Linked DNA regions of Ovis aries. The protein of the gene in region 1 binds, or shares a complex with, the protein of each later gene. Links are inferred from orthologs where the notes say so. Each region holds a gene or a part of one and is shown in the gene's direction. Other genes may lie near its edges. The genes, in order: ASF1A, TLK2 and CDAN1.

The links.
Region 2: the proteins of ASF1A (region 1) and TLK2 are in contact, whole or in part, in a crystal structure (PDB 7LO0), measured with the Homo sapiens proteins. The link is inferred for Ovis aries from reciprocal best matches to the Homo sapiens genes ASF1A and TLK2. Residues at the interface, in NP_054753.1 of Homo sapiens: Val45, Ala48, Glu49, Glu51, Asp54, Asp88, Val92, Thr93, Val94, Leu96, Arg108, Gly110, Tyr111, Tyr112, Arg145, Thr147, Phe149; in NP_001271262.1 of Homo sapiens: Arg11, Arg12, Gln13, Leu15, Leu16, Glu17, Arg19, Phe20, Thr21, Gly22, Val23.
Region 3: the proteins of ASF1A (region 1) and CDAN1 are in contact, whole or in part, in a cryo-EM structure (PDB 9CVC), measured with the Homo sapiens proteins. The link is inferred for Ovis aries from reciprocal best matches to the Homo sapiens genes ASF1A and CDAN1. Residues at the interface, in NP_054753.1 of Homo sapiens: Gln5, Val6, Asn7, Asn8, Val9, Val10, Val11, Leu12, Asp13, Pro15, Asn20, Pro21, Phe28, Asp37, Val45, Ser47, Ala48, Glu49, Ser50, Glu51, Glu52, Asp54, Asp58, Ser59, Val60, Leu61, Val62, Gly63, Pro64, Val65; in NP_612486.2 of Homo sapiens: Arg195, Arg196, Ile197, Asn198, Thr200, Val202, Lys390, Leu391, His470, Glu471, Glu472, Pro473, Gly474, Trp475, Asp476, Lys538, Arg541, Arg544, Leu545, Gln546, Arg548, Leu549, Met550, Ala551, Pro552, Gln553, Ser554, Ser555, Arg806, Lys807.

What each region holds. Positions count from the first base shown.
Region 1 is NC_056061.1:19,401,983-19,411,823, reverse strand, and holds the start of ASF1A (histone chaperone ASF1A), read left to right. Parts: upstream 1-4,284; 5' UTR 4,285-4,514; coding exon 4,515-4,623; intron 4,624-5,781; exon of another isoform or gene 5,782-9,841. UniProt on the Homo sapiens protein: Histone chaperone that facilitates histone deposition and histone exchange and removal during nucleosome assembly and disassembly.
Region 2 is NC_056064.1:46,640,419-46,650,388, forward strand, and holds the start of TLK2 (serine/threonine-protein kinase tousled-like 2), read left to right. Parts: upstream 1-3,986; 5' UTR 3,987-4,097; coding exon 4,098-4,233; intron 4,234-5,730; exon of another isoform or gene 5,731-5,733; coding exon 5,734-5,819; intron 5,820-9,970. UniProt on the Homo sapiens protein: Serine/threonine-protein kinase involved in the process of chromatin assembly and probably also DNA replication, transcription, repair, and chromosome segregation. Phosphorylates the chromatin assembly factors ASF1A and ASF1B.
Region 3 is NC_056060.1:36,248,165-36,257,527, reverse strand, and holds part of CDAN1 (codanin-1), read left to right. Parts: intron 1-110; coding exon 111-598; intron 599-811; coding exon 812-1,015; intron 1,016-1,211; coding exon 1,212-1,381; intron 1,382-1,497; coding exon 1,498-1,611; intron 1,612-1,693; coding exon 1,694-1,772; intron 1,773-2,189; coding exon 2,190-2,310; intron 2,311-2,488; coding exon 2,489-2,598; intron 2,599-3,061; coding exon 3,062-3,151; intron 3,152-4,070; coding exon 4,071-4,146; intron 4,147-4,612; coding exon 4,613-4,818; intron 4,819-5,123; coding exon 5,124-5,244; intron 5,245-5,371; coding exon 5,372-5,518; intron 5,519-5,616; coding exon 5,617-5,783; intron 5,784-6,176; coding exon 6,177-6,264; intron 6,265-6,509; coding exon 6,510-6,599; intron 6,600-6,787; coding exon 6,788-6,842; intron 6,843-7,053; coding exon 7,054-7,187; intron 7,188-7,270; coding exon 7,271-7,374; intron 7,375-7,634; coding exon 7,635-7,793; intron 7,794-8,140; coding exon 8,141-8,204; and 5 more. UniProt on the Homo sapiens protein: May act as a negative regulator of ASF1 in chromatin assembly.

The sequences.
Region 1 (9,841 bases):
AAATGCCGGGCTGGATGAGTTACAAGCTGGAATCAAGATAGGCGGGAGAAACATCAACAACTGAGATATGCGGATGATACCACTCTATTGGCAGAAAGCAAACAGAAACTAAAGAGCCTCTTGATGAGGGTGAAGGAGGAGGGTGACAGAGCTGGCTTAAAGCTAAATATTAAACAAAATTTAAGATCATGGCATCCAGCCCCATTACCGCATGGCAAATAGAAGGGGAAAAGGTGGAAGTAGTGACAGATTTCCTCTTCTTGGGCTTCAAAATCACTGTAGATGGTGACTGCAGCCATGAAATCAGAAGATGTTTGCTTCTTCACAGGAAAGCTATGACAAACCTAGACAGTGTGTTGAAAAGCAGAGATGTTACTCTGGCAACAAAGGTCCACATAGTCAAGCCTATGGTCTTCCCAGTGGTCACATATGGTTGTGAGAGCTGGACCATAAAGAAGGCAGAGCACCAAAGAATTGATGTCTTCAAACTGCGGTGCTGGAGAAGACTCCTGAAAGTCCCTTGGACGGCAAGGAGATCAAATCAGTCAATCTCAAGGGAGATCAACCCTGAATACCCTTTGGAAGGACTGATGCTGAAGCTCCAGTATTTTGGTCATCTGATGCGAACAGTCAATTCACTGGAAAAGTCCCTGATGCTGGGAAAGATTGAGGGCAGAACGAGAAGAGGGCATCAGAGGATGAGATGGCTGCATGGCATCACTGATGCAATGTACATGAATTTGGGCAAACTTCGGGAGACAGTGAGGGACAGGGAGTCCTGGTGTGTTGCAGTCCATGGGGTCTCAAGAGTTGGACACGACTGGGTGACTGAACAACAATTTTAATTCAGTTTAATTCTAGTACATTTAACTCACTCTTTCATCTAGCTTTGTGTGTGACCTCAATTTAACCTCAACTTTAAGATTCTGAAAAGCCCTCTGTAGATGAGCTTTGGAACTCAGAAGCAAGCTGCATCTAGTCTGTTCAGAATTCAAGGTGAGTATGCACAGTAGCAGATACTTCCTCTGAGAAATGTCTGCAGCACACAACCCCACCCTACAACCTACAACCTATATGACCACATCGTTTCACTCCATAGAACGCCCTTGATAAATGAACAACAAGCGGATTACATACATAGATTGTTAGGGCTGCCAGACTGGGTGGCTTAAATAATAGAAACCTGTTTTTTCACAGTTCTGTTCTGAAGGTTAAAAGTAAAAGATCAGATGTCAGCAAGGTTGGTTTCATTTGACCTACAAATGGCCACTTTCTTGAGTCCTCAAGCGGTCTTTCTTCTGTGCATGAGTGCCCTTGGCGTCTCTTTTTATGTCCAAACTTCCTCCTCATATAAAGAAGCTAGTTAGAATGGATTAGGGCCCACTCCAAGGGACTCACTTTAACTTAAACACCTCTTTTAAGGCCCTGCCAGCAACTACAGTCAGTCTGAGATACTGAGGGCATACATATGAATTTGGGGTCAAGGAGAACAGCATAATTCAGCCCATGACAATAGCTAACTAGGTTCATTTATCTCTGTCCTAGGCATTAACTTAGTCTTTGTTCGTTTTAGAGCCAAAGCAACCTTTTTCAGCCACCCTTCCCCCAAGCAGGCTATAAAGAGAGAAGTGATTTGAGGATTACATTCCATGTAGCCCTCTAAGTGTCATGTGGGTCCCCCTGGGTACTTCACATACGACAGCATTCATGGCAACCCATCTGCAGCAATGTGGTTAACTGTTTGAGAGTCACCAAAAAGTTGTTCAGCAACAAATCTTACAGACTGTCTCTGAAACCAGAATAATGCTTTTACAGTCTTTCCCCCTTAAGGCATGCCATTTAATCAGAAGTACACAAGGGCACATCTGGAAATCCCTGTGGTCTTCCTGGAAGGTATTATCATTGATGAGGAAACTACTGGAGCGAGTACCCAAAGGCTCTTTAATACTTTTGAGGAGCAGTAACAGTAAGAGTTAAGATAAGAAAGGCAACAGTAAAGGCCTGGAGCCAATTCTTGAGGCTTCCAATGAGCTATTAGGGCGGGCTTCCCCCGCCCCTTAAATACTCTTATATATGACATGATAAATGAAGAGTTTAAAGAAAATAAGCCAGAAATATTGGGTTGGCCAAAAAGTTTTTGGATTTTTCCGTAACACCTTACGGAAAAACTCCAACAAACTTCTCGGCCAACCCAGTAGTACTATCCAGGTAAATCTCAGTCTTGATGCTGAGAACAAATCTTACACACTTCACAATGACATCACCTATGAGCAGTGGACAGAGGAGCCTGGCAGGCTACAATCCACAGGGTCGCAAAGAGTCAGACATGACTAAAGCGACTTAGAACACGAGCAGATTAAAAGCGCACTTGATTTTTACCAAGCTTTTAAAGTCATTTTTATAAAGCAAATGGATTTCAATCTCCTCATAACGATGCCTGCAATAATGAGGAAACTGCATATATCCCAGTCTCAAGAGAACCTTGTTTTATGCTTCAAATGGCTATCGCCTATGTTCTGTGTGTCTTACAACTTACACTTCATCTGAGGCAGCCTTAGGCCCAGCACTAATAACAATGAACAGAGAATACAGTTTATCAGCCAACGTAATTTGCACCTGTCCCCACAGTATGACTGTTAAACTCTAATTTGTACAAATACCTGGGCTTGAGGAAACCCCTTCCAGTAGATCGTGGTATTTGCTAATCCATCCATGATACAATGGGATCCTCACCCTGAGTAGTTTCCCTAAATGTGGGAGGCCTGGGATTAACTGTCCCATTGCTGTTGTTCTATGGCTAAGTTGTGTGACTCTTTGTGACTTCATGGACTGCAGCATGCCAGGCCTCCCTAGCTGTCTCTTATTAACTTTCAAAAGACCATCAGATGCAGAAGTCTCATTAAAAGCAACCTGCAATGAACAGTGTCCAAAGAATGTTAACTGAAAAATTCTCAGCACCATACTAAGAGAAAACTTTCAGCATAGATGACACTTAAATAACTTTCTCTGAATTTAATTAACCAAGTGGTTTCATTCAAAATACCTGAAAAATGATGGTTTATGCAGCAGGGAAAAAAATCCCTTTATATTGCTCTTATTTAGAAAATAGAAACAGCTCAACAACCTTACACAAAATGTATTACAAGCTCTCCCTTTCCTACAAAGGTAGTCAAGAACAAACTGACGCTGAATGTCGAATAATCAAGTAAAGATTCCTCTGAACTTGCTCGTGGTGCCATACATTTTTACTTACTAACGGTTTAGGTCATGACTTTTTGGAAAATTGCACGTCTTGGTATGCTTTCGTGGTCTCTACTCGCCTTTTGCCTTTTCTGCTTGTATCTGTTGTCTTTACGGTCTTCTGATACTTGCATTTTCTCCTTTTTATGTTCCTGCTGTGTCCTCCGAACAGGAGAAACCGGGTATAAGTGATCCAACCTCAAGTCATCTTTTTATTCTAGACTTTCCAGACTGGAACGGGAGAAAGACGACCCTGGTGCAGCCCAAATACTACCTATTCCACAAAGTGTGGGTGGAAAAGCGTTTCCTCGCCCTTCATTTTGTATCTACTTAACTAACGGCGCTGTCGTGCCCAAACGTAGAGATTGGCCAAGAACTAGATTTCCAAAATGGCTTTGCTCCTTTTGAGCTGACATCAGTCTATAAAATGCAATTTACTTCCCCTGCAACCAACCTTCCCTCTAACCCAAATATTACCCAGTACACAGACAACTGAACCTAACCTAGTGTAGACAACGGATTCGCATCTCCTAAATTCAGTAGAGAGCCGACACAGCCGTCGGACTAATGTGAAGAGTCAGAAGGGGGAGTGGGGGAGACACAGAACAAACCCGTTACACAAACCCCAGAGGCGGGTGTCGCCAGGATCGCGCCCTCCCGTCGCCGTGCCCACGGCGAGCACGCCTTCCCGCCGTGGCCACGCCTCCTGCCGCCTCGCCGTGGCCACGCCTCCCTCGACCCCGCCCCGCTGCGGCCACGCCCGACGTGAGGCGCGGGAGCCGCCGGGCCGGGGGCGGGGCCTGCGCCGCCCCTCCCCCCGCCGCCGCCGCCGCCGCTGCCGCCGGCGGCCTCCGCGCGGGCCTCCCAGCCCGTATTCCACTCACTTTGTTCTCCGCCTTTGTCCTAATCCACACCAGCAGGTGGAGCCGCAGTTAAAGTTTCCGAGTCCATTCCGGGAGCGGGAGCCCATCTTGCTCGCCGCGGAGGCCCTCGCTGGAGGAGGAGGGTCAGAGCTCGGGTGCAGCCAATCGCGGGCAACGCTGCTAGTTATCAGAGCAGAATGGGCTGTAGTTTAGTGAAATAGGAAAGCTGCAAAACACTGTGGAGTGTTCCCGTGTAAATAAAAAGAGGAAAAAAAAGTTTCTCAAGTCGCCGCTGCACGACGTCGGGCCGGCGCCGGGGCGGGGGTCTGCGCTCTCCCGAGCGGCCGCGCGCTGGACTTTATTGTGCCGCAACGAGCCCCCCGTCCCCATTGTTTGTGTTTTTTTCAAAATATGGCAAAGGTTCAGGTGAACAATGTAGTGGTGCTGGATAACCCTTCTCCCTTCTACAACCCATTCCAGTTCGAGATCACCTTCGAGTGCATCGAGGACCTGTCTGAAGGTGAGTCGGGCGCCCGCCCGCCGCCGGGCTGTCAGTTGCGGGCTGCAGACGTTGAAAGTTTCCCGGGCCCGGCCTCACGCGGGCGGCCGGGGCTCGGCGCCGAGCGGGCTGCGGGCTCGGCTTTGCGGAGGGAAACTTGAAGTTGATGGACGACGGCCGGCCAGGCGCGCGCGGCGTTCGGCCGCCGCCGGGGCGCCTGCCGCGGCTCAACTTGCGAGGAACTTGTTCGAGCGGAGGTAGCCATGTTGTCAGCTTTGTCTGGCGGGCGGGCGCTTCGCGAGACCCGCACTCGCGCCCGCGGCGCCGGCCGGGGGTCGCGCCGGGCTGGCCCCGGGCACCCAACGGCCTCCGCGGCCCCGGCGAGGAGGTGGGAAGGCAGAGGCATGTGTGTGGTCGGCGCCGGCGAGTTCGCAGCGGAGCCATCTTACCGAGAGTAGAGAATTGGGCCACCGACCCCGGCGTCACGACGCCTCCTCTCCGCGGGTGACGAGCGCGGCGCCCCGCCTGCCCACCTTCCTGCCCCCGAGCAAGAGGCACGTCCATTTTTAGCGCTCACGCTGGAGTTACCGGACTCTCCGGGGTGGCCATGCCCGGCCGCTTCGGGGAGGGGAGCGAGGCTGTCCTCGCGCTGATTTCTGGTTCCGTGGACCAACCAGTGGGGGAGGCGGGCGCAGGCTCGGCCCCTCGGCGCCACGGGCCGGCGCTCTCCGGGGGCCGCGGGTGCTCCCGGGCCGGCGCTCCCCAGCCGGCACCCAGGATGCTCGGGGCGCCCGGGGATGCTGGCGCGCAGGCTCGCCCCGAGCAACGTGGGCTCCTCATCCTTGGTGACTGAAATCTAATCTTCTCTCTCTCAGGAAGAAACATATTGCTAAGCTAGCAAGTTACATTTAACCTGAGAGCAGAAATAAGTAAAATATTTAAATAATTTCCAGGACTTGATCACTGGCTTCTAAGTAGTCTGAAAGACTTCCTTCAAGAACGTGTTGAAATCTAATTACAGCAAGTCCACATCCAAATACCCTGAACATAAAACACAAAAGTGGGCTAGGAAATAAAGTCCTGATGGCAATGCAAAATTTAATTTTTTTTTTCTAAGTACGTTTTAAGGTCCTCAGAAAGACATATAGCATGTGCGGTAAGAAATTCAGAAAGCTAAAATTTGCCAAGGTCTTTCCGATTTTATTAAAACCATCCAGTGCTCCATTTTCAAAATTTCAAGGGGAAAAAAAAGTTTAACTTCATCGATGGTAATTTTACAGCTAAATAGGGGACAGGCTTTTTTTGAACTTACAATTATGTTTAGCAAAATTCATCTTAAATTATATGCTAATCAAGGCATGTAAAGCATTTTCACTTTAAAAATTATCCTTTAATCCCTGTATAATGTATTTTAGGTAGTGTGTAAACTATTTCAATTACAAAAACCAACATATGCTCATTGTAATAAACTTTTTAAAAGTTGTTCATACATATATAAAGTAACACTCCTCTGTACTCAATACCTTCCGCCAACATGTCACTCAAAAGTAACCATAATTACCACTTTAGTATGTGCTGTTCCATACACTGTAGTTTTACTACAAATATAAAGCACATATGCACATACGAAAGTAGGCACATTTTGAAAGACAATTCATTTATTAAACTAATTCTTAAATGGGCTGTTGCTAATAAAAATTAAAGGGGGTTTTCCTTATTACCGAACTTTGAAACTATTTGGTTACTAAAGTACTGCCATAAGCATTTCAGCCACTAGGCCCATTTTCATGCCCACTAGACATTTTTTTGGTTTTACTATCAACTGCATATAAAAATGGACAAATGCAAGAGAAATACAATAAATGAGTCCCTTCCAATTTATACTACAGTGTTTTAGGCATTAGAACTTCTTGAAATTACTGGTATTTCTCAAGTGATATCTTCCATTTTAGGAGCGAGTTCTCAACAAGGAAGTTAGATGATTCAGGATGTTGTTACAGGGCTTTGACAATGGATGGCTGAAACCTGCCATTGATGTGTTCTGTTTGTAATGGGATCTTTTCAGAACCAAGCTGAATCCTATCAATTTTTACAGTACTGATGTCAGGAATACACCTTACTTTGACTTGTCTACCTCACTTCCCAGGTACTTATACTGGGCATTTATTTAGTACTTTTTAGGAGTTTAAGCTGAGTCATACTGAAGCTGCAAAGGAATCTTTCAAAAAGGTGCCATGCTTATGTACTCCACCTAGAGGCTGTGTGGATTAAGGAAATAGAGTTTACTTAGTAAAGACTTCTTATAGTCCCATCTTTTATGCTGCTGCTACTAAGTCACTTCAGTCGTGTCCAACTCTGTGTGACCCCATAGACGGCAGCCCACCAGGCTCCCCCGTCCCTGGGATTCTCCAGGCAAGAACACTGGAGTGGGTTGCCATTTCCTTCTCCAGTGCATGAAAGTGAAAAGTGAAAGTGAAGTCACTCAGTCATGTCTAACTCTTAGTGACCCCGTGGACTGCAGCCAACCAGGCTCTTCCATCCATGGGATTTTCCAGGCAGGAGTACTGGAGTGGGGTGCCATTGCTACAGTTCTTTAAAATATTTGTTCTTGGAAGTGAAATATAGAATAGTCCAATGAGAAATTTTCACTGTATAATTTTGTTTCAAGTTCCAGAGCTTGGCCATCATTTTTCATACTTTAAATTGTCAATAGCCCTCACATATTTTGACTTTCCTTTAAAAGCTGCCCTGTAGCTTTGTTTCAGAAAAAGTCTGAGTACTTAAGAGAATTTAGTTGAAATCTACTGTAAGACCTATACAGGGGTAGGACAGCAATCCACAGATGTAAGGAGAGGCTCTCCTGTTAAGTCCAGGAGATAGGAGACCTTGGGTGTGTTTGGTCTGATGGTCACCAAGCCTGTACACATTTTCATTGACTTTACTGCTGACTTTGTTATACCTTCTGTGGACTGCTGATTTCTCTGCTTCTTTACTGAATGGAGCCTTTTTAAAAAATGTTGATCAATACTTAGAGCTGTCAGTTGAATACATACTTAAAACATAACTGAATGAAGCTTCATACTTTAAAACCTCAGGTTTGTACTAATTCACAAATACTACATACTTTCCCCTAGATCACAGGTCTTCCCAAATAGTGTAATTAGCTTGAAATTTACTTGGTGACTTCCCTCACTCCCACCTCAAATGGAGACACCTGCAGACTGAAGTTACCATGATTAAATGAAACAGTTAACTTTTTAAATAAGTGAGTAAACTACTCCAAACTATCACCTGTGTAAAGCATTCCATCCTGTCCCTTCTTGTTTCAAATACAGGGGGCAAGGAAATGAAGCTGGGTTCAAAAAAAGATTAAGAACAAAACAACTGATGCTGATTTATAAATAAGTATTGAGTGTTTTAAACTCAGTAGCTATAGCAAGCATCCATAGCATAAAAATTAAGGTACCCTGAGTTACAGCCTATACTCCTTAAGGCTAGATTATCTACCCCTCGGCCTCTGCCCTCAGCCATGCCTTCCCACCTCCCGCAGTTAAATTCCTTTATTTCACTGTTGATTTGAGAGCTAAAAAGGAAAGAATTTATCTCAGATTTTTGGAAAGAGCCCAGGCTTTGGAGTCACAGAGACATAGCTTGGATTTTGATTCTTCCATTTACTAGCTGTGTGAATTTGGGCATATTACTTAACCTATCGAGAGTCTCAGCTTTACTTGTGTAACATGTATAATTAATCCCATGTGATACCTACGAAGCTGTTGAGGTTTTGAATAACAGGTGTGAGGTGGCAAGACCAATGCCCAGGTATTTTATAAAGGGATGTTTATAAGTTATAACCACATTCCTGCACCAGACCACAAATGCCAGCTTATACCAATTAAGGCAAGATCACAATCCATAGTAGTACAGATACTTATGAAATGAACAAACAATTATGGAAACCTCTGTGTGACAAATCCCAGGCTTCTCTTTACTTGGCTAGTTGAGTAGTTTCCATACCCCTTTCTCCTTAAAACCATTTCTCCACTTGACTTTTGGGTTACCTGCTTCACTGGCCACTAATTGGGTAACTTTAATTGATCCTATCTCCCTGACTTCTTAACTTTGGAGAGCTCCCTGGGCTCACTCGCTTGGAATCCCACCTATTTTCAAGGTTTCACATATGGACAGTTTCTAAATTTTTACCAGACTTATGATCTCCACTTATTCATTACCTTCTTCATCCCTGGAACTCCTGATGGTTTCCCTTCCCTGCCCCCAGAAAAATAAGTGGCTCTTGCTGGCTCGACCTTCAGGATATATCCACAGTGTTACTACTTCTCCCCTCTATGGCTACATGTGGTCCAAGACACCATAATTTCCTGCCTCAACTGAACTATCCTCCTGTTTCTTCCTTTGCCATCTTACAGTCTATACTAAACACAGCAACTAAAATGATCCTCCTAAAATGAAAGTCACCCACTCCAATATTCTTGCCTGGAAAATCCCATGGACAGAGGAGCCTGGTGGGCTACAGTCCATGGGGGTCACAAAAAGTTAAGACATGACTGAGCGACTAACGCTCACACACAAAATGAAAATCAGGCCATGTTGCTCCTCTACTCAGCATTCCAGTGGCTTCGCATGCCTCTTCATGATAAAGCCACAAATCCTCACGGTGACTTCCAAGCCCTGCATCCTCTGGCTACACCTCTCCCCTCCAAATCTCCCAGTCAGCTGCTTTCTCTTTTGCTCATTCTGCTGTTGCCCCAGTGGCTTTGCTTTTTCTCAAGCATGTGCCTGCCCATCTGGTCTTAGTACTTGCTGTCCCTTCTGACTAGATACTCATACTGCTTGTTCCCTCTCTTAATCTTCATCAGCAAATAGATAATCTCACGAGATGTCAGATGTGGGACCCTGCATCTAGAAATGTACTAGGAACTGAAGATAAAGTGGCCAAGGTCTGGGACAGAAGCATGACACAGTAAGAGGAAGAAGAAACCTCAAGGATCTCTTACTTCACTGAACTGCAGTTTATAATCACTATGAATGAGCAGTGCCTCGCCTATTCCTGTTACCTGTTGAAGGAACAAAACGAGCTTCAAAGTTATACAAGAATGACAACACATGATGGCATTAGATTCTCCACAGGTGACCCAGAAGCATCACCGCCCCCCATCCCTGAGTCTGGCGTAGACTTTGTGGAGTGGATCCAGGAGTCAGGCCACACAGTGCTAAACAACCT
Region 2 (9,970 bases), on another chromosome or scaffold:
TCCTCCAGGGCTTGTGCAGTTTTAACACCATTTGATGGGTAAAGAAACTGAGGCTTAGAGAAGTTAAATATCTTGCCTAAGGCAACACAGCTGGTAAGAGGCAGGGCCAAGATGAAAACCAGGGCCCTGGACCAAGAGTTTGTCCTCTTAGCCAACATCTTGCAGGCTCCTTTTAGAAAAGGTGCACGTGAGGGTCCCCTACTTGGTGAAACATGCCATAGTCTTTTCACTGAAGATGGTGGATATTATAAAGCATTTAAGAAGATTGTGGACATTCATTAGTTGTGGTATAGGTAAAAGGGCAAAGAAGGGCTAAACTAGGTTTCTCCAGTGTCTTTCTCAAAGTATCTCCCATCAGTATCAGAAACCACCAACCAACCAAAAAAAATACCAGGGTGGTGGTTCAAAAAATCAAATTAGAAACCAGTGGATACCCCAGTCCCTCTCCTGGAGATGGTCTTGTGTGTATCATACACTTTAGGTTCTAAGAAGTGCTGAAATAAAGGATTCCACTTAACTTTAACCTAGAGTCCTGAGGACCAATGTACATCCACTCCCTTTAAAGCATTTAACCTGTTGAAACCTGCAGAACACAGCTTAGGGAACGCCAGCTCCCTTGTCCCTTCTGTGTCTATGAACATGGACCTGGAGGACTTGTTATATGCTACCCTGAAGGCAGGATCAATGGGAACATCTAGATGAATCCCTGTTTGAGCCTTCTGATAGCAATTGGGCTTTTGCATGGGGACACCATTTGCCAGCCTTTGAGAAGCTGAGTTTCATAAAGTTGCTCTGTGAGCCAACACACTTTAAACAAGTGGGTTCATGAACTCAAGGTTAAATTATATCGTGAGAACCATTGGACAACAACAAAATCATCCATCTATTATTTCTTTTTTCTGATTGTTAGTATTTGATATTTTCACTTATATGCTTATGTGTGTTAGTTGTTCAGTTGTGTCCAACTCTTTGTGACCCCAGGGACTGTAGCCCGCCAGGCTCCTCTGTCCATGGAATTTTCCAGGCAAGGATACTGGAGTGGGTTGCATTTCCTTCTTTGGGGGATCTTCCCGACCCAGGGATCGAACCCGGGTCTCCTGCATTGCAGGCAGATGTTTTACCATCTGAGCTACTAGGGAAGCCTAGTAGTTTATATGCTTATAAACAGAAGCATATAAGAGGGTATCAGAGGATGAGATGGCTGGATGGCATCACTGATGCAATGGACATGAATGTGGGCAAACTTAATGGAGATGGTGAGTGACAGAGAGGTTTGGCATGCTATAGTCCACGGGGTCGCAAAGAGTTGGACAGGACTGGGTGACTGAACAACAAACAGAAGTACACCATTTTTGTGGTAAGCAAATTCATGAAATTCCTATGAGCAATTCCTCTCGGGATGAGTGTTAGATATGGGGTGGGCTATGAACAGACCTATGATAGTGTCAGTGTTCTGACATGCAGGGAAAAACACACTAGGCAAAGTGAAACAAAATCTTGTCTTTTCCTGAATTTCAATGACTAGTTTCAGTTTTATTTTTTTCATAGTTACCTCAAAAAATGGAATCATAGCCCTTTAGACCTGGAAAGGACTCTGGGAATCCTCTGGCCCAAACTCCTTCATAGATGAGGTTGGCGACACTTGAAAGGTTAGGTAACGGGCCCAAGCAGTTTGTCTGTGGAGGAGCTGGCCAGAGCTCAGCTCCAGCTCTGTCCAGTGTTCTTTCTCTTAAACTCTTCTCTTCTGAGATGTTCCAGTGTCATTTTAAGCACTTACTTTTTCGATCATTCACTGTAAGGACAGAACTTGTCTCAGGTGGTTTTCTCTTTTGAGTTGTAGAGGAACATACTCTTGGCTCTCCTGCCCCCTTGATAGTCCTTACCTTGCCCTTTTTCCTACCCTCTGCCTGGAACTTGCTCTCCCCCTCCCTTTCAAACACTGTTATCTATCGAAATATGTGTGCAAGGCCCAACCTGGCTGGGATTTGAAACAAGGTGACTCTTGGCTGAATGGATTTTTTTCTACAGTGCTTGAATGTGCCCAAGGATTTGGAAGGCTGAACAACTAACAATAAGTAAACTGCCATCCTTTACCCTTTCAGCAGGTCTGTGTTCCATGAATACAGGAAGAATTAAGAGTAAGGAAGCAAGAAAGGCAGAAACATCATCTGAAATACTTGCCTACCCCCTGGAAAAGTTCAAGGCTCTTGCTCATTTTATGAATTTTCCCCAAGCCACTCGTTGTCATACATCTTCATACATCTGATCAAGGAAGCATCAGAGGAAAATAAAAAGTTGGGTATCTGCGTAGAAGTCAGCGTCCTGGCTCAGATGTCGGTGGAGAATGTGATTTTTCCTCTGGTGCTGGGCGATCAGAATGGGAGCCTTCTGTGCAGGAAGCCGCCTAGCTGAAAGAGCTATTGCATCCTGGTCTATTTCCCATTCCTCGGTAGAGAGGGGCAGGCCTGTTTTCCCCATTCTAGCACTTATTCTTAGAGCCCCCTAAGTACCCAGGAGAGCCTTGTTTTTAATCAAAGGTTGAAATGGAACCTCCCCCAGGGCGCACCGATAGAGTCCCTTTGGGGCAGCGCCCCCCCACCTCCCGCCTTCCGAAGGGCAACACTGTGGTGGGGGTGGGGGCTCAGCCTTGATCCCAGAGCACCACTTGACCCTAAAGACGCCCTGCCAACCAGGTACGTGGAGGTGAACCTCTGTCCGCTTTCCACGGCGCAAACGTGGATTTGGGGAGCGGGACGGTGAGTTTGGAGCGTGGCGGGGCGTGGGAGCTAGCCAACACGGGGGGACACAGCCAACTCACTAACTGGGAGTCTCCGGGGAAGTTCGGGCGGGGTTCGTCGGCTCACGGCTTTCTTCCTCTAAAATCCATCCTGGGCAGAGCAACCTCACTTCTCACCCAAACTCGTGGAGATCAGGGATTAGGCGGGCGCAGGGTTCGGCGAGGCGGATCCGGGAAGCGCCCGGCCCAGGCAGCGAGGCCCCTCCACCGTTGGTCCGCGACCCAGGGCGCCGGCCCAACCGCTCGGCTGGGGCCGGTCCCGCGGGGCGGGGGCCGATTTTACGAAGACGGCTGCGGGGTCTCCGGGACTCCGGCCCAGCCGGGTCAGACCTCCCCTCGCGTCGCTGTGCGTCCGTCGGCGCCGCCCGTCAGCCCGCCCTCAGCCGCCCGGCGAGGCGGCGGCCTCCTTCGCCTGCGCGGGGTCCCCTGGTTAACCCCTGCCCGGCAGGCCGGCCGCTGATTGGAGGAGGCGGGGCGCCGGGGCAGCGGGGACCCCCCCACCTTCCTCGTCCCCTCCCCCTCCTCCCCCACTGTCGGCACTTCCCCCACCCCCCCAGGACCCCCCCTGCCTCCCAACCGTGCAAATCTCGCGAGGAAACACGCGGTTTCACTAGTGTGTTTACACCGATCACTACTAATCCGGACCGAACCGATCCGGATTAAGGGGCCGGAGGCGGGTCCTGGGCTCCAGCGGTTCCGACCCCCCCGCCTTCCGCGCCGCACCCGAGTGGCCCCTAGCCGAGCGGGCCCCCACCTCCCGGCCGGGCCTGGGCCCTTCTGCGCCTCCCTTGGCCTTTGTCCGGCGCCAGGAGACCGGTCCCGCGCCCCCCGCGGCCGCCCGGGCCCGGGCCCGCGTCAGGCGCCTGGCTCTGTACGCGAGCCCGGGGATCTGCGGCCTCCGAGGCCCCCCTCCCCCGCCCGCCCTCTCGTGGAGCCCAGCGCCGGCGGCGGCTGCCCGGGCGGGGGGTTGCGGCGCTCAGGAGAGGCCCCGGCTCCGCCCCGGGCCTGCCCAGGGGGAGAGCAGAGCGGTCCGCAGCCGGGTCGGGTCGGGGCCCCTCCCGGGAGGAGCGTGGAGCGGCGGCGGCGGCAGCGGCGGCGGCAGCGGCGGCGGCAGGTGAGAGGCTGAGCCCCGGGCGGGGGAGGGCGCCGGGCCTGAGGTATTAACCGTCCGGGCGACCCTCTCGGCTGAGGAGGCTGCGGCCCGGGCCCACCCGGGGGCCGGCGCCGGGCCGCAGCTCCCCGGCGCTGAAGCGGGAGGGGCTTCCCGAGGGCTGCGGGTCGCCGAGGGGCCGGGTCGAAGATGGGAGAGGCCCAGGCGGCCCCGGCCTGGGAGTGGGGCTTGCGGCCGGCGGGGAGATGGGGGCACCCGGGCAGCTGGAGGCCCCGGCAGCCTCCCGGGCGCCCCCGAGAGCTGGCCCGCCCTCCCTCCGTGACAGGTGGGCCTGGAGTTGGGGAAAGTTTGGAGCCGGCGGGAGACGAGGGGCGCCGGGACCAGGCCCCATCGGTCCTGCTTTCCGGCTGTGGGCTACAGGGAGGATCCCAGTCCAAGGCCCCGCTGGAATGAGACTGAGTGGATCTTTCCTTAACATGAGTTGACATTAAATGGAATAACCGCTGGGGCGTCATTTTCCGGGCCAGGCCTGGGGATGGAGGTTTAGGAAACGTGCCGAGAGACCCTGGGGCTTGAAGAGAGGCTGCAACTTCTGCCATTCCGGCCTCGATTAGGGCAGGGCGAGACTCGACGAAGGCCACTTAGGGAAACACTGTCTCAGTCTCTTTTTTTTTTCTTTTTCTCTTTTCTTTTCTGAGATACCTTTCTGCCCTTCTGAGAATTTCCTAATTCCCTCTCTAACCTGCACTTGTCTGTGTGGGTGAAACTTTAATTTGCCACCCTTTCATTCCTCTTTGCCCCAGGCTCTCAATCCAGGAAGGGAAATGAAACTGGAGGCTTTGTAGGGGTTGTTACTGAAAATTGTGGAGTTGTTAGATTGCAGAGGGGCATGTTTAATTCATGTTTTCAGTGAACTTTTAAATCATGCCAATCATTCCAGTAGCTATTTAGTAATATGTTCAAAGGGGTTGTAGGTAATGGTATATGTACCTTTTCTACTTTTAATATTTGGGCGGTTTCCAATGCGTTCTGCAAGAGATGATTTCTTGCAAACGATGGAGGTGTTTGCTGAGAGTAGCCTGTGCATTAATTGGTCGTGGAAGGAGTTTAAAAATGGTGTCCTCTTGCCCCTCCCTGCTTGGAAGGAGTGCTAAAAGCAGATGTCTAGAGCAACCTACTGCTCCAGGGAGTGGCAGAGAAAGATTTTGTAAAGGGGTGGTTATGGAGCCATACTAATTTCCTGAGTGGATGCAGGTTGATGGTTTTACCATGGGTTCTCTATTAAAATGAAGTAATTAATTCCTTTTTTCATGCTCCTCAGAGAAAGGAGGCGTAATACAATAGCGTTATTTTAAGTTATTAGTAGCTTCTGATTCATGCTGTATTATTTTGAAGTTATTATTAATGATTCATATTTTTAGTTTAAGAACTAGTTCCTGTGTGTTTGGGAAGGAAATATCCTTAAGTACTTACCTAAATTCAAAGGTTGATAGAAGAAATTTTCTTTTTTTGTAAGCTGGGCTTTGCTCAGCTTTTACAGAGATTATATGAAAGTTTTGAGGGTTTTTTTTGCTGTTAAAGTCAAATCAGAACTAGTTAAGAATAAGTGACCCTCAGAAGAAGACTTTTGAGCCACTTTGTAACTTTAAGTGTATTACTATTTGATATAGTGCCTTGTGGTTTATTACTTGTATGCTATATTTATTTGAGGTTTACCTGTATATGAATATTCTGCAAAATAGTTACTGTGCATTTTGTTGTATCCAAGAACTGGTTCTTCATGTTTTAGCTTTTCGGGTCTCACAACCTACTTTTTCTTTTTCAGTAGAAATGATGGAAGAATTGCATAGCTTGGACCCCCGACGGCAGGAATTATTAGAGGCCAGGTTTACTGGAGTTGGTGTTAGTAAGGTGAGTAAAATGATGATAATGAACACTGCTCATAGCCAACTTGAAACACACTTAAAAACAAAGAGCAAACTGGATGGATCATGCAGATGCATCGAAGGGGAGGAGATCTGGCTCACAGTTCCAGTGAACTTTTAAATCCTATCAGTTGTTCCACTCAAATATTTAACAGTAGTCTTGAAGGTACTCTGTATGGAAATATTAACTTCTTTTTACCCTCTAATGTGGAAGAGATTTCCCGTGGGTCTATTGCAAGGATACTAACAGGATGTGTCTCGATTCTATGCCACATTTTGTCAAAACTCCTCAGTCACTCAGACAAAAACTGCTAATGAATAAGTATTGGCATAGCTTCTTTACGCTGGGCTTTTTGTATGGTTACGTGTAGAGTTTTGAAAAACATGCCCCTGCTCTGTCACCTCCCCAGATCTGCAGTTCAGCAGATTCCTCATGATTGTACCCCAGACTCCTTTTCCTTTCCTCCTGTTTTCCCTTCTTGTTCACTGCTTTTGTTCCAGGAGCATAAGATCAGGCCCCGTTCACGGGCAGTGTTACGGCTTCCTGTGCATCTTTACAAAACTGCTGCCTCACCCCGCTGCTCTGATAGGAGGGCTTTAGAACAAAGTATAAAACCTATTTATGATTTTAGTACAATATGTAAGATATATTTGTGATGTTTTATTTAAAATCTTCACCAATCCAAGATGTTGTTTACTTGGACCTGAGACTAGAGAATTTTTGATCTTTGACTCCTTCCTGTACTTTCCAAGAAATATTATTTCTCATGGCACCTTGGATCTTAGTCTCATGCTTAGTTTCATGTTCTTAGAGGAAAAGGTGTTTGTCAGAGTTCAGTTAGAAAAACTGCTTTGATGAATGTCATAATTTTGGTGGGCTGGAATAACTTGATAGTCTTTGTTCATTCAATAGATATTGAATACCTGCTGCGTACTAGGCATTGTGCAGGATGTTAGGGATGACACCTCAGTACAGTACTTCCAAGCCCTTACTGTTGAGGGGAGCGTGGTATAGAGTATAACTGGGATGGGAGCTGTATTAGACCTGTGGTGAGCTCTAGTAGGAACACAGGATTTGTTACACATTTTGTAATTCTTGGTTTCTTCGCCTCTTTAATTAAGTAACTGACTTTGGTGGCACTTTAGAGCAGCTGTGCTCCTGACTGTTGTTATATGTTAGTTACATGTCTGAATTCTACATGTCTAAATTCTCTGATCTAGGTGAAGTAGCTTCAACTGTACTTGAGTAGTATATTTGAGTGTTAAAGTGATCTCTGATTCAGTTGATTGCCTAATAATGACTTTTGCTGGTAATTCAGTAAAAGTCTTGTATCCAAATCTGTCTATTCAAATGCTCACCCACTGTGTAAGAGTAAGTTTGTATTTAAATTGTATACGGTTTAAACTAATTGAGCTTTGTTAGAATGCTTTTCTTTCCTTCTGGTTTTAGGTTCCTGGTAGCTGTATCCAAGTATACTTTCCATGGGGTAGAGCATAAGTTATGGGAATGAGTAACATTGTGAATTCTGCTGCCCAGGCCCAGCTAAAATCATGTAACTGAGGTGCAAAAAACTTAATCTGTTTAATAGGAGTTCTGCTTTAATATATAGAAAGAAGTTCATTTTTATCGAGATGTTTTTGTATCATTAATTGTGTTATTTTGAAGTTTCCAGTCACGATAAGTATATTGATTACAATAAATCTGTTATTCTTGGACCACTAGGAGTGTTTTTACCCATAGCAAAGAAACTTGGCAGGGGCGTGGCTGGAAAGCAAGTAATTATCCTGTAGTTTTGTGTAGTTAGGAAAAGAAAAGAGAAAATCTCCATTTTGTAGGACTTCTTATGCATGCAAGCCATTGTTTCTCTCAGACTGCTTATTTGAAATAGGATCGAGGAGGGGGCCATGGTACTGGGAAAAAAGGTGCTTTTGGATAGACGCTTCCTTCAAGCCTGAAACTCCTCATTATGGGTCATCATTTCTCAGTGAGGATGTCGCTGTGTTGATGACAGCTTTCAGTTTTGCAGAGATCATGAGTGCTTTCAGCCCTTGGAAGTGGGAGAGCAGAGTGGCTTTCCTGTGACAGTGCCATCTAGTGGGGCTGGTGCAGCCGCATGGCTGTCTCTTGAGTTTCTCCTAACTATTCATAACATTTTCAGTACTGTTTGATGTCCATAGAAGGAAGAAAGTTGGTGCCACTGTGGATTCTTTCCTAGTGGACAGGATGTTTTAAGTAGCTGCAGTCTTTGAACTTCCTGGTGACTGTCCATCTTCTGTCATGTTGCCTTGAGTGTTTTGCACCTGCAAATCAGATACACAAAACTTAGGCGAAAGAAAATGGCCATGCCGCCACGTTTATTGCTTGCAGTATTTAAGTTACTCTTTGCTTATATTTAGGTTGTTTGCAAATTAAAATTTTTCTTTCACATTGCATTTATGCACATTAATTTTATATTTAATGTTTAATGTATAATAACTAGTAAAACAGAAGCATTTGTTATGTATTTTGGGATGTGCCATGTGGTTTTGTTTAAGAGACTGATGTTTTCTATCATCAGTGAGTGGGTAATAGAGGGAAGGAACCTGACATGCATTGTGAAGCTATAACTGACTTTCCTCCTCTACTCTAGCTGCCACTTTTTAGGACTACCTGTAGCCATTCTCAGCATTTCTGAGATGATAGGTTAATTGAGTTATGAACCTGCTTCTTCATGTCTTATTGACTTGGCGTGTGAACGCTGCTTCTTTTTTTTTTAAGATCTCTTCCTTAAAGTACTAGATAATCCACTTCCAGTAATGTGAAACTGACTACCTTGTATTCGTATGTTTTCAGTGAGAACTTAGCACAGTTTATATTCCCTACTCTCTCCCCTTTTGACTACTTAAATACAGATAGTCTCATCTCTGTGATTCTGGAGACTCTAAAGTAGGTGGAATTCTGCCCTTGCATGTACTGTTTATCTGTACCTAGTTGACTTTTAATGCTAATAGAGTAACAAATACTTCCATAGTATTTTCTGTGTGCCAGATACTGTCCCAAGTACAAAGAAAGCAATAAGTGAATTTAGATCTTTCATAATAGGGATACTAGTCTTAATAAACATTCCTTCCCTTTTTATGAGACGTGCTAACTGATGCCCAGTGCATTGCCCCCACCAGTTGGTTAAATTGACTCACCAAGGACCACTTTATGACAACTTGCACTTGTGTTATAATTATATGGCTCAATACAAAATTGTGATAACAGTTGACATAAAATGAAAGAATTGTTGATTCTGTGAAAACTAAGTTATCTGCCTTGGAAAGACTGAATATAAAATGAAGCAATAAGGAGATAACTATAAAAACTTATTAAAAGAATTTTTTTTAACCTGGAAGAATTCTTCATTTAGATACTTGGCAAGTATCTTAAAAGTTCTTGCTTCACTTTTAAAGAAATCGAAACTGGAAATAGTAGATGAAGCATTATGGGTGTGGTTTGTGTAAGACAGTGTGAAGCTACAGTCAGTAGGTCTGTAACTAAACAGGCCTGTATCAAAATATTGGCAACAGAATAAGCGTTTCTGTACTTTAAGTTCAAAGAAAACGTTTGTATTTTTTTTTAAGATTCCTCACTATAACTTACTTTTTTGATTAATGTCCTTGGTTTCAGTTGTATTGAATAAAAAGTGTGTTGATTGTGTTGAAAAGAAGAGCGAAATGAGAACCATGAAAACTGGGACTCCCTCTTTTGGCACAATAAGAAACTCATTTCCTATCTTTTATAAATTTGTGAGTGTGATGTGAGTCAGATGATCACATCTGACTTCTGAAAAGATCTTGAACCAGCTGATACCTTTCTCCTGTCAGGTAGTAAATTGTATCAATTAGAAGGTGTCAGTTATGGATACCTAGCTATAGTAGCTATTTCACATGCCAGTGCAAGAAATTTTAAAAAATACGTTTAGGTGTTTATATTTAGTACATAGTTAGATGGTCAGTAAGCATAAATGCTGAAAAATAGTCTACCTTTATACCAGTTTTAAGAGTAACTATTCTTAAATTTATTATTATGTTTGCCTTTATGTTCTCTTCTTTTCATTTACAAATCTTCCTCGATTTATGTCCTGATAAACCCATTGTAAGTTGAAACTATCA
Region 3 (9,363 bases), on another chromosome or scaffold:
GCCGCTGCCCCGGCCGCCCGCCACCCTCAGCACGCCCTGCGGCCCCGGCTGCTCGCGGCCCCGGGCTGGCAGCTGACTGACTCTCTCTCCCCTCGCCGCTTCTCCCTCAGGATGACCCCAGGGAGGCGGCCGCGCTGAGCTCACTTCGGCCACTGCGGAAGGAATTCGTGCCATTCCTGCTGAACTTCCTGAGGGAACAGAGCAGCCGCGTCCTCCCGCAGGGCCCCCCAACCCCCGCCAAGGCCCCGGGCTCCTCGACAGGCTTGCCAGGGAGATCCGGGGGCCCGCCGCGGGGCGGCCGCGGAGCGCGCAACCAGCTCTTCCCTCCGATCGAGGCTTCGAGCGCCACCGCTGCTGACGCCCCTTCGGCCCGCCGTGGGGGCAGGAGGCGGGGCCCGGGGCCGGCCCGCGAGCGAGGCCGCGGCCCCGGGGGCCTGGAGGAGGGGGTCAGCGGGGAGTGCCTGCCCTGGGCCGGGGGCCGGAGGCCCAGGAGCTCTGGCAGCCCCAGCAGCCCCAGCCTCGCGCGCTCTGATCCGCCAAACCTCAGCAACCTGGAGGAGTTCCCTCCCGTGGGCTCCGTTCCCCCCGGCTCTGCAGGGTGAGAATTAGCCCTCATCTAAAATATGGCTCTGCTAGGGGAGTTAAAAAATTAAGGCTGGGTGCTCTGTAGTAGAGCGTGGTAATAACAAGAAAGTAGGGGGTGAAATATCTACGTGGTGAGGGGCATTTTGCAAGGGGTGCTAGATGTTTTGGTGGAGGGGGAGATGCTTGAAGATGGGAATTAGGAAAACCTATGGCTGCTTTTCAACAGGACCAAGCCTTCCCGCAGGATCAACCCAACTCCAGTGAGCGAAGAGCGATCACTTTCCAAGCCCAAGACTTGCTTCACCTCACCCCCAATCAGCTGTGTTCCCAGTTCCCAACCCTCAGTCCTAGACACTAGCCCTTGGGGCCATGGGATTCCCTCAGGGTGCAGAAGTCTGCAAGAGGAGCGGGAGATGCTCAGGAAGGAGCGGTATGGCTTTGCTGCTCCTGGGGATGTCAGCTTCCTTTGGGGGGTGGGATTTGCAGGGCTTTTCCCTGTGATTAATTTGTCTCCTGGGAACCCTGGGTCTGTTTCCTGGGCTGTGGACAGGTCTCTAAGGAACCTGAGTGTGGCTGTGGAGGGGAAGCCATGCTGACTGCTCATGACGTTTCTCTTTCCCCGGTAGCTCTAAGCAGCTGCAGCAGTCACCTACTCCTGCCTGTCCCACCCTAGAACCAGGATCTCCTCACCCCAGCCGGACAGGACACCTCACAGCTGAACCCGCTGACCCTACCAGAGTATCTTCCCGCCACCGTCTGGAGCTGGTTGCCCTTGTCTACTCTTCATGCATTGCAGGTGAGTGAGAACAGAGCCCTGGAATGAAGACACTTGTAGAACTACAGGGTAAAAGAATTGAACTGAGCCTTTGTTTTGACTGGCGTTCAATACCCTGGAGTTTCCTTTTTAACCAGAGAACCTGGTACCAAACCTCTTCTTGGAGCTTTTCTTCGTCCTTCAGCTCCTTACTGCCCGGAGGATGGTGGCTGCCAAAGACAGTGACCTTGAACCAACTCCGGGAGCTGTAGGTTGGTGAACAAGCCTCTTTTTGAGAAATGATGTCTGGAAATGAAATTGTTTTTAACCAACAGCTTGGTACTGTCCTTCTAGATTCCCTGGAAAGCCCTCTGTTCCAGAGTGTCCATGATTGTGTCTTCTTTGCAGTGCAGGTTTTGGAACATCAATTTCAGTAAGTTTCCCCCGCTGAGGCATTTGAACCTTATTCACATTATTCACTTGATTCTCTGGCTACTTCGGGGGCATGCTTGTGCTTGACACAGATGTAGTGACCCTAGGCCTTTTCCTACATGTAACCCTTCAGTTTCGTGTCAAAGCTATGAATTTAGCCCTTGAAAGAATCAAACTGCCCCCAGTAGTTTTGGTAGCTGACCTTTGGGTTTATTTACTGTTTCTGCTTTGCTATCATTAGCTGCTCCATAGGGTCTCGTTTCCTTTCCCTTTATCGTCTTTAATCCTTGGCGCATGACTTTTCTTTTTTTTATGTACCTGCTCTGTGCTCCAGGTAACACACTGTGCTGTGCAGATGCCAGCTGCCTATTTGCAGTCTGTCCCATTCTCAGTCATGTGTGCTCTTATCCCTGTACAGCGTTCTCTCCCACCTGGACAAAGGGACATTGAAGCTGTTGGCTGAGAATGAGCGATTACTGTGTTTCTCACCGGCTCTGCAAGGTCGCCTCCGAGCTGCCTATGAGGGCAGTGTCGCCAAGGTAGTGACCCCATCTTAGACATCTTCTAGCCTGGATCTGACCCTTCCTAGTCTCATAATCCAGGCGGCCCAGCTCACACCACTGTAGTGTCATGCGGCCTAAAACTCTGGACTAGAATATGGGGATGAAGTTTTCTGAGCGTGAACTCTGCTTTCAGTCCCTAATGTCACTGTTTTAGGTCTCTCTGGCGATGCCACCTTCTGCTCAAGCTGTCTCCTTTCAGCCAGAAACTGACAATCGTGCTAACTTCTCCAGTGACCGAGCCTTTCATACTTTCAAAAAACAGAGGTGATAAGAAAAGGGGACTCTGGGGGAGGGGATGAAGCAGCATTTTCTCCGGGATAGGCAGCCTATGTTGTTTTCATAGAAACTAGATGTTTGGCACTAACGGGTGTAGTTTAGCACCACCAGGCCCTTCCTAGCAAACATCTTAAGGGCCACTTAGCCTCATTCTCTTTCACACCCATGGACTCGCACCTCTGACAGTAGCAGCTTTCTCGCAGTGTAATGACTTTGGCCACAGGGTTCTCAGATGAGAGTGCCAGATTAGCCTTAACTGCCCACAGAAGCAAGTGAAGCATGTGGTGTACTACTGTCGGGTCTGTGGGATTATCACATAGAGAACCTTGGAGAGGATAAGCAATGGAGCTGTGAATGGTCCTGTCTACAGTTCTGAGCTAGAGAAGGCACTCCTGAGAATGAGTTAAGCCAACTGTGCTTCAGTTGATCAGACATCTTATGTGTCTGCCAGGGATGTGTTTTACGAGGTACTTCGAGAGTGGGAAGATCGCCATGAGGAGCCTGGCTGGGATTTTGAGAAGGGCTTGGGCAGCAGGATCAGGTATGTGCTCATACACTGATCACTTTTTCCTGCTTCCAGCAGTGAGCAACTTAGTGGTGTTTGGGTAACTGATTAGAGAAAGGCTTCTCTCCCCACCCCGAACTCCTTCCAGCACAAAGCTGTTTTCTGTCTTCCTTAATCTCTTAGTTACTGCCACCTCTGCCTCTACTCAAAAGGGATTTATTTCTCCAACTCCTTCTACTCAGAAATCATTTATACTTGCTCTGTGATTGCAAATGATTGATAAAGTGGAACACTCTTATTCCAGGTTGCGTGAGTTTTTGCCTGTCACTGGCTTAGACCCTTTCCAACCTCTATTTTCTCCATCATCTAATCTGACAATACAAGATAACTTTGTGTAGCTGGATAACTAGGATACAGAAAGAATATCCTCTTGTCTGGTGATCTCCCATCCACGTTGGTCATGAAGCTTACTGGCAGTCAGTGTAGACTGAAGAGGAGAAGGGTGGTCTCATTTCATGTTTGGTTAAGTGTAAGGTTAAGGGCTTCCCTGGGGGCTCAGATGGTAAAGAACCTGCCTGCAATGCAGGAGACCCAGATTCTGTCTCGGGGTCAGGAAGATCCCCTGGAGAAGGAAATGGCAACCCATTCCAGTATTCTTGCCTGGGAGATCCCAATGGACAGAGGAGCCTGGCAGGCTACAGCTCATGGGGTGGCAAAGAGTCGGACATGACTGAGCGACTGACAGTTTCAGTAAGTGTCTCTCTAGCCTTGAGGGATCTTGGTGCTAAGGAAAGTATCCTTTACCTTTTCCCATATCCTTGTGCCAGCCAGCTCTGGTAGAAGGCTGCTCAAGCCCCTGGTAGAGGGCTGAAAGTCTCAAGGATTGGCTTGTTCTCTCAGATCTTTCTCCCCCTCTTCCTCCCATAACACTCCATCCCTGCCTCTTATTCCTCAGAGCCATGATGGGTCAACTCTCTGCGGCCTGCAGCCACAGCCATTTTGTTCGACTTTTCCAGAAACAACTTCTCCAGGTAATTGCTCCAGCAGGAGATCTGTCTCCAGTGGACAGTATGTATTATAGGTGCCAAGGAATGGCTGGCACTTTGGGACAGGACAGGAGAACAGGCAGGTCCTTGGCTGAAGAGTAAACAAGAGTTCTGCTCTTCCTCTGTGGGCCCCCTCACACACCCAGCTCTCCTGGCCCTCCTTCAGTCCCTCCCTGCTTTCTTGCCCTTGCTTTGTGGTGTGGTAGAAAGAGTGCAAGGTTAGGTCTGGTTTCAAATCCTCGTGACCCTATGCAGATGTTGAATCTTAAAATTTCAGTTTCTTCACCTGTAAAAATAAGAATATAACACAGACCTCAAAAAATACATCTATGGCACACAATATAGGGTGGGCACCCCGTATTGTTCACTGCTTCCTCCTCATTTTCTTCACCCCTTCTTTCCAGAAAAACTCACTGGTTTATCAATTTCTCTCCTCCTCCCCCTGCCCCAGATGTGTCAGAGTCCTGGTGGTGCTGGGGGCACTGTCTTGGGTGAGGCTCCGGATGTGTTAAATATGCTTGGAGCTGACAAGCTGGGGCGGTTGCGGCGCCTACAGGAACGGCTTGTGGCCCCTCAGAGCAGTGGGGGCCCCTGCCCACCCCCTACCTTCCCAGGCTGTCAGGGCTTCTTCAGGGACTTCATCTTGAGTGCCAGCAGGTAAAGGTCCCCTGTCTTGCCGAGAGTGGGGGAAGAGGCCTGAAAAAGAGGTTTGTGTTCCCAGAAGGGCAAGAGTTTGCTCTTCTTGGCCTGGAATGTCAGTGGGTGGGACTGGGGGATGCCCAGCCTCCTTCTAACCCACACTTCCTGCTTCCATTTCCCTTCTCACTCTCTCACCTATGAAGGTAAACTCCTTGTTCCTTGACCTCCTGTGTCTGCCCTACTGAGCCTTTCTGTCTGGAACACCACCTCTATTATCCTTCCTGCACCTCTTCCAGTACCTTTTTTCCCCCTTCCCTTCATAGCTTCCAGTTTAATCAGCATCTCATGGATAGTCTGAGTTTGAAGATCCGAGAACTCAACAGCCTCGCCCTTCCTCAGCCTGAGCCTAGTGATGAGGATGGGGAGTCAGACGTGGACTGGCAGGTTAGAAAGCAGAAGAAAGGAGGCTTTGCTTTAGAGGGGAAAGGATATTTTCAAGAAGTCTGTAACAGATGTGGTTTTGTTCTAGAAGCCTAATGCTTAGGACCTCTTACTTCTTGATGGCCTGCAGGGTGAACGGAGGCAGTTTGCTGTGGTGCTGCTCAGCCTAAGGCTTCTGGCCAAATTCTTGGGCTTTGTCGCTTTCCTGCCATACCGTGGGCCTGAACCACCCCCGACCCGTGAGCTCCAGGACTCCATTCTGTCCCTGAGGAGCCAGGTGAATGGGGGCGCTGGTAAGGAGGGAGCTGGGAGGAGCCGCATGGCAATGGCGTTAGAAGGCTTTCCCCAGCCCCTGACTGACCCTGGCCCTCCCAGGTGCCCCCAGTCCTGGACGTGCGAGCTCTGCTGCAGCAGGGGCTGCGGGCACGCCGAGCAGTGCTCACAGTGCCCTGGCTGGTGGAGTTCCTTTCTCTTGCTGACCACATTGTCCCCATGCTGGACTATTACCGCAGCATCTTCACTCTCCTGCTGCACCTGCATCGGTGAGTCAAGAGAGGGCAAGGCTTGAGAAAAGGGTGCAGGGAGAATGTTGTTGAGACTGCTGCTTTTTGAAGAGGGCCAAGCAGCTTGTGCTTCCTGTGTGCTTCCATAGCTATAGCTGACCCTCAGGGGAAAGGCCAGGCCTTGATCCACAAGGACAGACAGTGGGCAGTTATTTGCACTTTGATTGGCCCTTTTCTGTTCCTACTGTGGCCGAGCTAAGAGTGAGTACAGGTCTGGGAGAGGTGATGAGACATGGCTGCCTACACAACAGCAGTCCCTTTTAGGTCTCCTTTTGAGAATCACCTTCCCAGTGATAGCTTTTTTTTTTTTTTTAACTCCATTCCATTTCTCTCATTGCACAGATTCCACTCACACCCTCATTTACCTTTTAGGAGCTTGGTCTTATCAAAGGAAAGTGAAGGGGAGATGTGTTTCCTGAACAAGCTGTTGCTGCTTGCTGTCCTAGGCTGGCTTTTCCAGGTTGGTGGAATGAGGGTCCAGGTTGGGGAAAGGCGGTATGACTTCTGTGGCTGGAAATGGGCAAAGGGAAAGTGTAGGACTCTGACAGAGAGCGGGACCAGACGCTAAAGGCTCAGAGGAGGAAAGATGGGGTTGCCATAGAGGAAGGTGGCTTTGAACCTGGTTGTCTAAACCCTGGAACCATGAAGTTGGAGGTGTGATGAATCCCTAAAGTGCTGGCTGGCACTCCCCTAATCTTTTGCCAGATTCCCACAGTCCCTGAGGACCTATTCTTTCTGGAAGAGGGTCAGTTGGATGTCTTTGAGGTGGACACAGTAGCCTCAGAGCATGGCTTGGTAAGTATTGGGGTCCAGCCAGAGCCATGGGAACCACAAGAGTAAAGGAGGTAGCCTGCCTGTCAGCGGGCCCAGAAACACAAGCCAGAATAGAGGCTGAAGTCTCACGTAATTCTCTAACCCGACCGCCCCATTTCTGGGAGGAAGGGAAGCTTCCCTTCCGCAAACTGACCTGTTGTCTCCCGCAGGACAGCATGCCTGTGGTGGACCAGCAGCTGCTCTACACTTGCTGCCCTTATATTGGTGAGGATACTCTTCCCCAAGGGTCCTTGGTCCTTGGCCTGCCCCTTCATGAGTACCCAAAATGCATCCCATGGGCCCAGCACCCTCGTACTTTGTTTTGTGCTTAGGCGCTCCCTGATGCCTCGTTCTGTCTATTCCACAAATGCTTAGTCTGGATGCTTGGGAGGGTGGGACAGTTCTGGAACTAAGCACATGGGCTTCTCTGATGCAGGAGAGCTCCGCAAACTGCTCGCTTCATGGGTGTCAGGCAGCAGTGGAAGGAGTGGGGGCCTCGTCAGGAAAATCACCCCCACCACCACCACGGGCCTGGGAGCCCAGCCTCCCCAGACCACACAGGGGCTGCAGGTAAGGGGCAGGGTGGAAGCAAGGGCCACCTCATGGGTAAGGGAAAGGGAGCCCTTGCCTGCACTGCTCCCTCCTCCCCACAGGCACAGCTGGCCCAAGCCTTTTTCCACAACCAGCCGCCCTCCCTGCGCAGGACTGTGGAGTTCGTGGCAGAGAGAATTGGTTCTAACTGTGTCAAGCATATCAAGTGAGTCTGAATTGAGGGGGTTGGGAATGAAGGTGTTGCAGGTCCCAGGCTCATTTCCTTATCCTTTTCCCCCTTTTAACACCTTGTTGCCAAACTGAGGAAAGTCAGCTGAGGGGTGGGGACAGGGGCCCAGTGGGATGGGGAAGGCTGAAATGGCTAACATTCTTTCAAGTTAGTTCTGACCTGGTTTGCTTGAATTTGCAGCCCCTTTCCAATTCAGCCTTTCCAACTACCTCAAAATCTTGCTGTTCCTGCTGCAGGGCCACGCTGGTGGCAGAGCTGGTGCGCCAGGCAGAGTCGCTTCTTCAAGAGCAGCTGGTGACCCAGGGACAGGAAGGAGGCGATCCAGCCCAGCTGTTGGAGATCTTGTGTTCCCAGCTGTGCCCTCACGGGGCCCAGGCGCTGACCCAGGGGCGGGAGTAAGATGCCAGTCTGTTGGGATCCTCTCATCTCCACTCTGCTCTTAGCCTTTCCTTTCCTGTCCTTTTTTTTCTTATATTGTTTATTCCATGTCTTCTCCCACCCTGCTTTTGTCATTCTATTTTTGCCTGCTCTGTAGGCTCTTATCTTGGTTTTTAGAGGTTTAAGGACCCAAGTTTAGAGTCGAATTGGAAAGGCATGTGGTTGGGTGTCCAATCTCCTGGCATCTGGGCCAGAGAGCTGAGCATGCCCTCCCCTGTGGCAGAGCTCTCCCAGCTCAGGGAGTTGGTGCACTCAGGGACCCAGCTGATGTCTCAAGACATCACTGACCTCTGTCTCCTTTCAGGTTCTGCCAAAAGAAGAGCCCAGGTGCCGTGAGGGCACTGCTTCCTGAGGAGACTCCGGCAGCCGTACGTAGGAAGTAGTCCTGGGGTGGTGGGCTGGGCTGGTGGGAGAGCAGTGCTGTGGGGCTGTGTGTGTCAACATGCACATGAGGTGGTGGGCGGGCCAGTCTTGGACTTGGGCATTCACCACTGTCCTAACTTGCCCCTGACTCAAAACTACTTCTGTGTCACAGGTTCTAAGCAGTGCAGAGAACATTGCTGTGAGCCTCGCAACAGAGAAAGCCTGTGCATGGTTGTCAGCCAACATCACAGGTAAGGTCCAGGGAAGGGGAGTAACTGACCAAGTTTTTCGAGTGGACTGGCAGGAAGTTGGAGGCCACTTGGGGGAAGACAGGACTCAGGGCCAGTTGGCAACAGGGAAGGGCAGGGGTTGGCATGGTGAGCCTATGCAGGGCTGCTTTGGTGACTCTTCTCTGTCCTCCCTCTGACTTGCAGCACTGATCAGAAGGGAGGTGAAAGCGGCCGTGAGTCGCACGCTTCGCGCCCAGGGTCCTGAGCCAGCTGCCCGGGGGGAGCGGAGGGGCTGCTCCCGTGCCTGTGAGCACCATGCTCCCCTCCCCTCCCACCTCATCTCCGAGATAAAAGTACACAGCTCCCTACTCCCTTCGGCTCCCCTCCTCCTGCTCCCTGCTCTTTTCCTAGTTGCCCTTCTTTCTTCCTCAGCTCCAGTATTTGTGTAGCAGCTTTCTGTGTTGTCCAGCTAGTTTCCATTTTGTTAACTGAATGGAGTTAGGCAGGGCTAAATGGAATTGAATGGTTTTAGTAATTGCTTTTCTCTGACTTTTGTACTTGAATCACCCAAAAGGGTAAAAGGGAAGAGGGTAGATGTGAAAATTGTTGACTGAGTACATGGTACATAGATGATATCGGGAGTGGAGTAGGGAATGGCTATCTAGTGCAGTAGGAAAGTTCTAAGGAACAGTCATCCCAGTATTGGGACAGTATTTCAGAAACACTCTCCTATGTGGGAGATGATGCTTGTTTGGTTACAGGCAGTAAGAATAATCTATCAGTGCTCTTAATTTGATAAAAAGAATTTATACTGTCTAGAACAGGAATCAGTGAACAATTCGTGGGCCAAATCCAACCTGCTGCTTGTTTTTGTAAATAAAATTTTATTGGCACATGGCCGCTTTCATTCATTTACAAATGGATTGGAGCTGTT